Macaca mulatta: one gene and its partners. The protein of the gene in region 2 purifies or fractionates together with the protein of the main gene of each other region. This does not show direct contact. Links are inferred from orthologs where the notes say so. Each region holds a gene or a part of one and is shown on either strand. Other genes may lie near its edges. The genes, in order: PELI2, IRAK1 and IRAK3.

Evidence for each region.
Region 1: the proteins of IRAK1 (region 2) and PELI2 purify together in Homo sapiens (affinity purification with western blotting; 7 studies listed by BioGRID and IntAct, with this or other methods). This does not show direct contact. The link is inferred for Macaca mulatta from reciprocal best matches to the Homo sapiens genes IRAK1 and PELI2.
Region 3: the proteins of IRAK1 (region 2) and IRAK3 purify together in Homo sapiens (co-immunoprecipitation; 3 studies listed by BioGRID and IntAct, with this or other methods). This does not show direct contact. The link is inferred for Macaca mulatta from reciprocal best matches to the Homo sapiens genes IRAK1 and IRAK3.

Annotation. Positions count from the first base shown.
Region 1 is NC_133412.1:129,443,515-129,446,295, forward strand, and holds part of PELI2 (E3 ubiquitin-protein ligase pellino homolog 2), read left to right. Parts: coding exon 1-412; 3' UTR 413-2,781. UniProt on the Homo sapiens protein: E3 ubiquitin ligase catalyzing the covalent attachment of ubiquitin moieties onto substrate proteins. Involved in the TLR and IL-1 signaling pathways via interaction with the complex containing IRAK kinases and TRAF6.
Region 2 is NC_133426.1:160,264,803-160,268,455, forward strand, and holds part of IRAK1 (interleukin-1 receptor-associated kinase 1), read right to left. Parts: coding exon 3,569-3,653; intron 3,268-3,568; coding exon 3,060-3,267; intron 2,721-3,059; coding exon 2,655-2,720; exon of another isoform or gene 1,844-2,654; coding exon of another isoform or gene 1,574-1,843; intron 1,323-1,573; coding exon of another isoform or gene 1-1,322. Other genes in the region: uncharacterized protein LOC144338623, read right to left, coding at 1-1,322, 1,574-1,843.
Region 3 is NC_133416.1:73,372,984-73,376,636, forward strand, and holds part of IRAK3 (interleukin-1 receptor-associated kinase 3), read left to right. Parts: intron 1-1,579; coding exon 1,580-1,694; intron 1,695-3,146; coding exon 3,147-3,265; intron 3,266-3,653. UniProt on the Homo sapiens protein: Putative inactive protein kinase which regulates signaling downstream of immune receptors including IL1R and Toll-like receptors.

The DNA of each region.
Region 1 (2,781 bases), on a different chromosome or scaffold from region 2:
TCCCGTGGGGCTCAACACCCTGGCCTTCCCCAGCATCAACAGGAAAGAGGTGGTGGAGGAGAAGCAGCCCTGGGCATATCTCAGTTGTGGCCATGTGCATGGGTACCACAACTGGGGCCATCGGAGTGACACGGAGGCCAACGAGAGGGAGTGTCCCATGTGCAGGACTGTGGGCCCCTATGTGCCTCTCTGGCTTGGCTGTGAGGCAGGATTTTATGTAGACGCAGGACCGCCAACTCATGCTTTCACTCCCTGTGGACACGTGTGCTCGGAGAAGTCTGCAAAATATTGGTCTCAGATCCCATTGCCTCATGGAACTCATGCATTTCACGCTGCTTGCCCTTTCTGTGCTACGCAGCTGGTTGGGGAGCAAAACTGCATCAAATTAATTTTCCAAGGTCCAATTGACTGACACCCTTGACAGCCAACTACGACTTTATTAACAGGTTACTGTGAAGATTTTGCCACTAACTCTAGATTTTACCTTTTTGTAATGCTGTTTATTAGGGGAGGGTGACGGGGCTGGAAATAAAGAGAGGGGACACACAGTGATGAAACATGGCAGGAGTGTAACAGATACCAGTGGTGTGTTGCATGCCCAGAACAGCAGCATCGTCATTGAAGTCTGCTTGATTAAACCATAATATCTTTGTAATAATTGGATTTAAAATGCCATGCTTCTATTTTTAACCTTGGGTTTTTAACCAAGTTTTGTTTTTGTTTTTGTTTTTGTTTTGTAATCTTGGACAAGACTTTAAATCATATTTTACAGATGTAGAAGAAAATGTATTCAAAAGTGTGGGCTCATGAAGTTCCCTTCAGTGCAGTGTGGTGTAGGTGTGACGCGAAGGGCACACAGTGTCTAGAAATACTTGATCATGGCTCCAACCTGACCAGACAGCAGAGGGGCGGCTCTGTACAGTGTGACTGGTGGACAGATGGCCTTAGACACAGGTGGTTTTGAAATCTGGGGCTTCTTTCTGATTTATTTTTCTGACTTGTTGGGGGAGAGAATATTCATATCTCATGGGCTTTTTTTTTTTTTTAACTTCAGTGGAATTTACTTTAGATACTCATTCATCAAATACATGGCACTTCACAGACAATTTTCCGTAACTTTTTAGCCTGTCTTTTGTTATTTCTGCCTAATATGATTTGCCCCTGATACTCATCTTGCATGGCCAGAACTGTTCGGTTGATTACAATACATCAGCTCTTAAAAACTCACTAACTGAGGATAATTACAGTAGTAGACATGGTCTGGGTGCTATACTACCATGTTTGTTTGCTGACTGAATTAAGATTTAAGAATGATTAAAAATAAGCTTTTACTTTTTAAAACCACTTGGGGTTTCATAAAGCTTGTGGGGTTTTTTTGTGGTTTCTTTTTCCCTTTGTTAAGAAAGCCAAATTCTATGAGTCTGAAAGCAAACCAATCACAATGATACAGGCATCTTTGCGCACTCCCTTTTTGCCATCTGTCACCTTCCCTTGCAGCTTAAGGAGCCCAATAAGTTTTGGAAATGTTTGCAAATCAAATTAAATTTAAGTGGGATCATTAGATATACACAACACCAAGTGGTACGTCTGCAGAGATAATTCAAAATTCCTGATTTTGAGAGAACAAATGAGTGTTTGCTGAGGATTAATTAAATCAGAATTTCATATGAGCTCCACCATTCCTGTTACTTTCATTTCATTTTGGTTAATAATTCTTGGATGCTTAGCACCAGTCGTATCACTGCTCCCAGAAGGCAAAGATCCTTTAGGACATGAGACTAGTAGAAGCTGGCTGAGATAAAATAAAACCCTGCCACATGGAGTAAGTATTTATTTAAACTAATGTTCTCTTAATTTGACCATTGCAGATTTGGGTGACTTTTTTTAACCTTTGTACATATACGTAATTTATATGATTCTAATGTACTATATCCATACTTGAATTGGTTTTTTCGTATTTTGCCTACTGGCAAATATTTTGCCTATTTTCAGCCATTCTAACCTATTTTGAGTACCCTTTTCCTTAAAGTGATATGATATATTACTCTTGATTGCTGCTGCTTAATTTGACATAATATGTTTAAAGTTCAGCCTCTCAGTTTTAATATAGCTTTATTTTTCAATGGAGATCGTTGTTTAGGATGAGACATTTTTGGTTTTGGTTTTTTTGGATAAATTTTAAGTGATGTGAAAATCTGACAACAGTCCTCTTATGGATAGCTTGCTCTATTCTGTATAGCTTACTCTACCTGCAGACAGAAAATGAAAGAAAAAATGGACTTGCCTAGAATAATATATTTAATGCCTTTTGATTTAGCCAGAGCCTCTGATGATTAGCTTTCGCTGATAGAGTTTGTCTTTTCAGCCTATAATTCTTTGGGCCCCAAAGAATGATAAAGGAGGCACTCTTTCTCTTTTCTTGCTGTACGCCTAGAAAGTGGTTGAAGGATTCTTGATGCCCTAAAACCATCTTGTAAGCTAAATGGTCTTGCATCCAGAAAGGCCAGATTTTACCTACCAAGAAAAAATATATTTTTCCAGAGAGTTAGGTATATCATAATTTTCCATTTCAAGTCCTGTTTATGAATCTAGTCATTCTGCAACGTGACATATCCCCCAAGTTGGACACATCCCATAGTTGGGCATATGTCTAACTAAAAGTTTCTGACTTTTAGTAAATTCAGCTTAAATGTAAGTTGAAATTTGGGTAATAATTTCCAAGCTCTTGGAAGGGGTAACAGTGAACCACCCTCCATGGGCTCCACATCTTTTCCTTTGGCT
Region 2 (3,653 bases):
CACAGAGAGAGGTACCCCACAGAGAGAGGTACCCCACAGAGAGAGGTACCCCACAGAGAGAGGTACCCCACAGAGAGAGGCTCCACAGAGAGAGGCTCCACAGAGAGAGGCTCCACAGAGAGAGGTACCCCACAGAGAGAGGTACCCCACAGAGAGAGGTACCCCACAGAGAGAGGTACCCCACAGAGAGAGGTACCCCACAGAGAGAGGTACCCCACAGAGAGAGGTACCCCACAGAGAGAGGTACCCCACAGAGAGAGGTACCCCACAGAGAGAGGCTCCACAGAGAGAGGCTCCACAGAGAGAGGCTCCACAGAGAGAGGTACCCCACAGAGAGAGGTACCCCACAGAGAGAGGTACCCCACAGAGAGAGGTACCCCACAGAGAGAGGTACCCCACAGAGAGAGGTACCCCACAGAGAGAGGTACCCCACAGAGAGAGGTACCCCACAGAGAGAGGTACCCCACAGAGAGAGGCTCCACAGAGAGAGGTTCCACAGAGAGAGGTACCCCACAGAGAGAGGTACCCCACAGAGAGAGGCTCCACAGAGAGAGGTTCCACAGAGAGAGGTACTCCACAGAGAGAGGTACCCCACAGAGAGAGGCTCCACAGAGAGAGGCTCCACAGAGAGAGGCTCCACAGAGAGAGGTACCCCACAGAGAGAGGTACCCCACAGAGAGAGGTACCCCACAGAGAGAGGCTCCACAGAGAGAGGCTCCACAGAGAGAGGTTCCACAGAGAGAGGTACCCCACAGAGAGAGGCTCCACAGAGAGAGGCTCCACAGAGAGAGGTTCCACAGAGAGAGGTACCCCACAGAGAGAGGCTCCACAGAGAGAGGCTCCACAGAGAGAGGCCCCACAGAGAGAGGTTCCACAGAGAGAGGCTCCACAGAGAGAGGTTCCACAGAGAGAGGTACCCCACAGAGAGAGGCTCCACAGAGAGAGGCTCCACAGAGAGAGGCTCCACAGAGAGAGGTTCCACAGAGAGAGGTACCCCACAGAGAGAGGCTCCACAGAGAGAGGCTCCACAGAGAGAGGCCCCACAGAGAGAGGCCCCACAGAGAGAGGCTCCACAGAGAGAGGCACCCCACAGAGAGAGGCACCCCACAGAGAGAGGCACCCCACAGAGAGAGGCACCCCACAGAGAGAGGCTCCACAGAGAGAGGCTCCACAGAGAGAGGCTCCACAGAGAGAGGCTCCACAGAGAGAGGCTCCACAGAGAGAGGCTCCACAGAGAGAGGCACCCCACAGAGAGAGGCTCCACAGAGAGAGGTACCCCACAGAGAGAGGCACCCCACAGAGAGAGGCTCCACAGAGAGAGGCTCCACAGAGAGAGGCTCCACAGAGAGAGGCACCCCACAGAGAGAGGCTCCACAGAGAGAGGCACCCCACAGAGAGAGGCACCCCACAGAGAGAGGCTCCACAGAGAGAGGCTCCACAGAGAGAGGCTCCACAGAGAGAGGCTCCACAGAGAGAGGCTCCACAGAGAGAGGCTCCACAGAGAGAGGCTCCACAGAGAGAGGTTCCACAGAGAGAGGTTCCACAGAGAGAGGCACCCCACAGAGAGAGGCACCCCACAGAGAGAGGCACCCCACAGAGAGAGGCTCCACAGAGAGGCACCCCACAGAGAGAGGCTCCACAGAGAGGCACCCCACAGGCTCCTGACAGAGAGAGGCACCCTGGGGGTGGAAACAGGACCAGAGGCCATCTCCAGTTCTGAGATCAGACAGACCAGGAGGAACAGCCAGGGTGGGCGGTGGCTTTCCTCGCAGAGGGAACAGCACATACTAAGGCTGTGAAGCAGGTGGCAGGGAGCGCCCCGAGTCCTGGGGACCTGGGGCATTGTGGGGTCAACCACATAAGGGATTGGGCCTTCACCCCAAGAGCAGAGAAAATGCAAAGGGGCCTTTGAAAAGAGCACTTTGGCTGCAGGGTGGGGAGCAAGTGGGAAAGTCCAAGGACCCCCAAGGAGCCTGCTGCGCTTCTTCAGCAGGATGCATGGATGGATGGATGCGGAGGGGAAAGGAAGGAGGGCTTGAGCCCAGCTCCTGGGTTCTCAGCGGGGCTGAATCCTGATGGAGACCCCACAGCACACAGGAACAGCCCCAAACAGGAGGAGAAGCAGTGAAGCAATTACTGGCTGAGCACATTCTGTGAAGTCTGTTTTGCATGTGGGAAAACAGGCCCAGAGGGGAGCAGGAATTTGCTGGAAGGCCACTATCAGGCTGGGGCTAAAACCCAGGTCTCCAGTCTCCTGGCCTCACCACAGTCCATGGTGAGGCAGACAGAGTGGAGTAAGAGCATGAGGCAGCTCAGGCTGCCCTGCACGGCGTGGAGAGCTCAGCTGCAGCCTGCTAGGGCCCAGGAGGTTCCTCGGGTCCTGCTTCTCTACCCAGCGCCCTGGGACCGCCCCTCCCCCTGCCCCCAGCCCAGATGGGGTCTGTACAAGGCTCATAGTGTCTGCAGGCAAACAGGTTTGTTCTCAGCAAGGTAAACGGAGTTGTTTGAGGCCCTGCCAACTTTCACAAATGCGGCCACTGTGGCAACAGAGGCATCCATGGGCACTGCGCCCCAATCATCCCCACCGCTGGGGCTGTGCCTGCTGGCTGCCAGCAGCTGTGTGTCCCCGCCTGGCCCCGCCTCAGGGGGCTCACCAGATACTTGATCCTGGCACCGTGCGTCTTCACAGCCCTCTGAGCAGCCAGGGTCTCGAGCACCACCTGGAGAGAGGGAAGAGGGAGAGCATGGCAGTGGCCTTGGCAGGGAAGAGGCCTCTGGTGTGGACATGGATCGGGCCTGACAAAGGTGTGGACAAAGGCAGAGCCAGATGTTATGGGACTGAAGCTCAGGCGACTTGGAGGGCCCATTTGAAGACAAATTACAAACACACAGTTAGGTGCAGGGTGAGGAGGAGAGCCTCGGAGGGAGGGGGGCCCTGGAGCTGCAGCCTCTTGGGGTCCTGGCAGATGGCCCCTGGCCCGCAGTGCACTCTGCGGCCCCCACCTCTGCCTGCCTGTGGCTTCTCCTCCTCTGAGCCAGCAGAGGGGTCAGTGGCTCACCACCCCAAAGCTGAAGGTGTCCGTGTCCACAGCCAGCCTTCCTGTCTTGATGTACTCCTCGGGCAGGTAGGCCAGAGTGCCCCGCACTGTCCGCGTCCGGGCCACCGTGCTGCTCTGGCTGGGGCTGGACCCGGCAAAGCGGCTGAACCGGGCCAGGCCAAAGTCTCCCAGCTTGGGTGTCAGCCTCTCATCCAGAAGGACATTGGAACTTGGGGAGGGAAGACAGTGGCGTCAGCCCAGTCCTAGCTCCTACACCTGCCCGGCTTAGGTAAGGCTGGACTTGAGGCTGCCAGCCCAGTGCCTTGCCCACAGAAAGTGCTGGCACTGCCCTGAGTACTCCAGCCGCCTGGGGGCCTCTGCTCATCAGTGGGGCCCATCCTTGGCCTGTTTCCACACCTGTGCCATACCGGGTGTTGAGGTCCTAGGCCATGCCTGATCCCCACATTGACGGGACGGGGCCCCCCTTGCTGCAGGCCCTGCCCCTGCAGTTCTCATGGGCCCCTCCTCACCTCTTGATGTCTCCATGGATGAGGCTGGGGCTGTCCTGATGTAGAAACTGAATTGCCCGGGCTGTACCCAGAAGGATGTCCAGTC
Region 3 (3,653 bases), on a different chromosome or scaffold from region 2:
CCGGAAGATTCGTCTCTCTGAATTATTTTAAGTTGCAGAAGAACCAACCAGGTATACACGGACTGTTAAATACACTACCTCAATTTCCTTTCAATCCATTGCTTTTCATTTTATAGGTATAGTTGGAATCATAATAGGTGTGGGGATCTTGTATCACAGAAGACTTTGATATATTTAAAAATAAAAACTTCTCTGTGTGTGTACATGTATACACACACATACACACACACACACACACACACATACACACACATGCTTCCTTCCTTGAAGTAAGAAGAAGAAAAGGAATCAGAACCCCCCTCCCCCACCACATATGCACAATATATATAGGATTGTGTGTGTTTATAGGAAAATTTTGCTACTGCAGAAATGAATAATAGGCTTTTATAAATAGAATATTTTTTACAGATTTATTTTAATATCCCCAAGCCTGCCCAGAACATAGTAGGTATCCCATAAGTAATTTTTGAATTAAACTGAGCTCACAGTATGTGTGAATTTCACATTTTATGTTTGCTAGTTGTTACCTGGGCTCATAGTGATAGCACACACTATTGAGGAATATAGTTTTTGTTAATAAGCTAATAAATGATTATTAGGGGAAGAAAAGCCTGAGAAATGTATGCTACACTGACATAGAAATCTGTGATTTAAAATCAGTGATATACTCTCAACATCAAACATTACTAGTCATATGGATTTAGACAACAATGCAAGCTTTGTGAAGACACTGACATCTCGTTTCAGCTGTGTAACTGGTATTTAGCACAGTCCCTGACATAGTAGTGCTCCATAAGTGGATGAATGAAAATGGTATTTATTCTTACGTTTTGGTGGCTTAAACTTATATACTTAAATAAATCAAACTAACAATTTTAGTTGTACTGTTTTTACTTAATAAGTCATGTTGTCTTTCATATTGATAAAAATAAGTTAATATTGAATAGTGCTATCTTTTGTAAAGTTTCCAATATTACAAATCTTTAAAACTCTTTATTTTTTGAAAATTTGTGCCTTATATTTGGATGTTTTATTTATATTTACATGATTACAGTCAATCAAAAACAGTAACTAGTATTTGCTAGAATTTTTGTTTTTTTTTTTTTTTTTTTTTGAGGTGGAGTCTCACTCTTGTCACCCAGGCTGGAGTGCAGTGACATGATCTAGGTTCACTGCAACCTCTGCCTCCCAGTTCAAGCAATTCTCCTGCCTCAGCCTTCTGAGTAGCTGGAATAACCAGGTGCTCACCACCAGGCCCGGCTAATTTTTGTGTTTTTAGTAGAAATAGGATTTCACCATGTTGGCCAGGCAGGTCTCAAACTCCTGACCTCAAGTGATCTGCCCACCTCGGCCTCCCAAATTGCTGGGATTACAGGTGTGAGCCACCGCGCCCTGCCGTTAGAACTCTTTAGACCAGTTTGGAAAGCAAATCTGTGTCCTGTGCCCAATGTGTCCAGCCAAATTTATATTCTGCTTTAAGCCTATTCTCCATCCCACCTTACTACTCCCACACCGGAGTGTTGTTCATTTCCTGTCTGAATACGCAATTTGATGGCTTTAAAACATCTTTTGTTTCAAGGTTTCACCATCCAAACATACTCGAGTTGACTGCATATTTTACAGAGACTGAGAAGTTCTGTCTGGTTTATCCATACATGAGAAATGGAACACTTTTTGACAGATTGCAGTGTGTAGTAAGTTCTTTCTATTATTCTGTCTGATCCTCTGACCCCCTGAAGTCCTGGGAGAGCTGCTGAAACCATCTGGGAGAGCTGGGAGGCAAGATGTGTTTGCATGAGGGGAAAGCGAAGGATGGGTTTCCCAAGGAAGCAGTACTTCTTGGATTAATTTCTTACTTTTAGGAGGCTGAGCAAATACCTGAGTTAATGTGTTTTGTGCAACATTCTGGCAACCATATTGGGTTCTCACTCATTATATAGTAAGAACCCAGCAAATCTTTTGGCAACCATGTTATATTATATTTGATTCTGTACCTCCAGTGAGTTGCCATCAACTACTCTTATTCCTTAGATAATTTTAATTTATATAACTTTATATAAAGTATCCTTCAATACAAAGGATTGCCATAACAGTGACACAGACTCTAAAGAGAAAGAGGCAGCCTGGACAACAACATAGCCAGATCTCGCCTCTACTAAAAAAATGAATAGGCTGGGCACGGTGGCTCATGCCTGTAATACCAGCACTTTGGGAGGGCAAGATGGGTGGAGCATGAGGTCAGGAATTCGGGACTAGCCTGACCAACATGGTGAAACCCCATCTCCATTAAAAATACAGAAATTAGCTGGGCGTGGTAGTGCGCACCTGTAATCCCAGCTACTCAGGAGGCTAAGGCAGGAGAATCACTTGAACCCAGGAGGCAGAGGTTGCAGCGAGCCGAGATTGTGCCATTGCACTCCAGCCTGGAGATTGTACCATAGCACTCCAGCCTGGGCGACAAAGCAAGACTCTGCCTCAAATAAGTAAGTAAATAAATTGCTGGCCATGGTGGCACATGCCTGTCCCATCTACTTGAGAGGCAGAGGCAGGACAATTGCTTGAGCCCAGGGACATGGAGACTGTAGTGAGCTATGATTGTGCCACTGTACTCCAGCCTGGGTGACATGGAGTGAGACCTTGTCTCAAAAAAAAAAAAAGAAAGAAAAGAGAGAGAGAGAGACAGAGAGAGGGAGAGAGAGAGAAGGAGGTTGAATAAATGCCATGATCCCTCATTAGATGTTTTTGGAGGTTAAGTTTAAAAATTGATTCCAAATAGGTTAAGTTTCAGTGAGGATGAAAATAAAAGCAGATTGTCTCAATTTCTCATACTATTATACCACAAGTAACTTAAAAATCTTATTTAATGAACTTTTAAGTAGTGTTACCTTACTAGCTATGTTTTGATTAAGCTAATATTAAGAAGTATGGAGTATTTTCACTGTCTATAAAGAGGCCTAGAACTGTCATCAGTAGCAAAAGGAAACCCATCTGGAATTAAAAATAAGTTCTGGAAAACCAAAACGTTGATTCACCCACCTCACCCCACCTTGCTATCTGCTTCTATTCTGGTGTATGTCTGCATAAGGAATACATAGGTAGTTTTTACTCAGAAAGTGCAACCAAACCAATTGCTGTTGTCGTTTTAGGGTGACACAGCCCCACTCCCTTGGCACGTTCGAATCAGTATATTAATAGGAATATCTAAAGCCATTCACTACCTGCACAACGTTCAACCATGCTCGGTCATCTGTGGCAGTATATCAAGGTAAATGATTCCAGAGCTTTTGGTTATTCCTGAAAGCTTCTTTTATCCTCACACGTGAGTCATACTTCACACTATTCTCTGCTGTAGTTCTCCTGGTATGTGTGTGTGTGTGTGTGTGTGTGTGTGTGTGAAGAACTGTCATCTAGGTATTTAAAAATCCTATATTTTTATTAATGAAAATGTGTCTACCAAATTTAAAAAGCTATATGTATGTTGCCAAAAAGAGGGTTTGCATTATCTTTGGGAATTATTAATGAACAATGTAGGATAGACAATTCTGTGTACAGATGGTCCCAATTTATGATGATTCAATGAAATGATTTTTTTGGACTTTACAATGGCACAAAAGTGATACGTGTTAAGTAGAAATCATACTTTGAGTATCCCC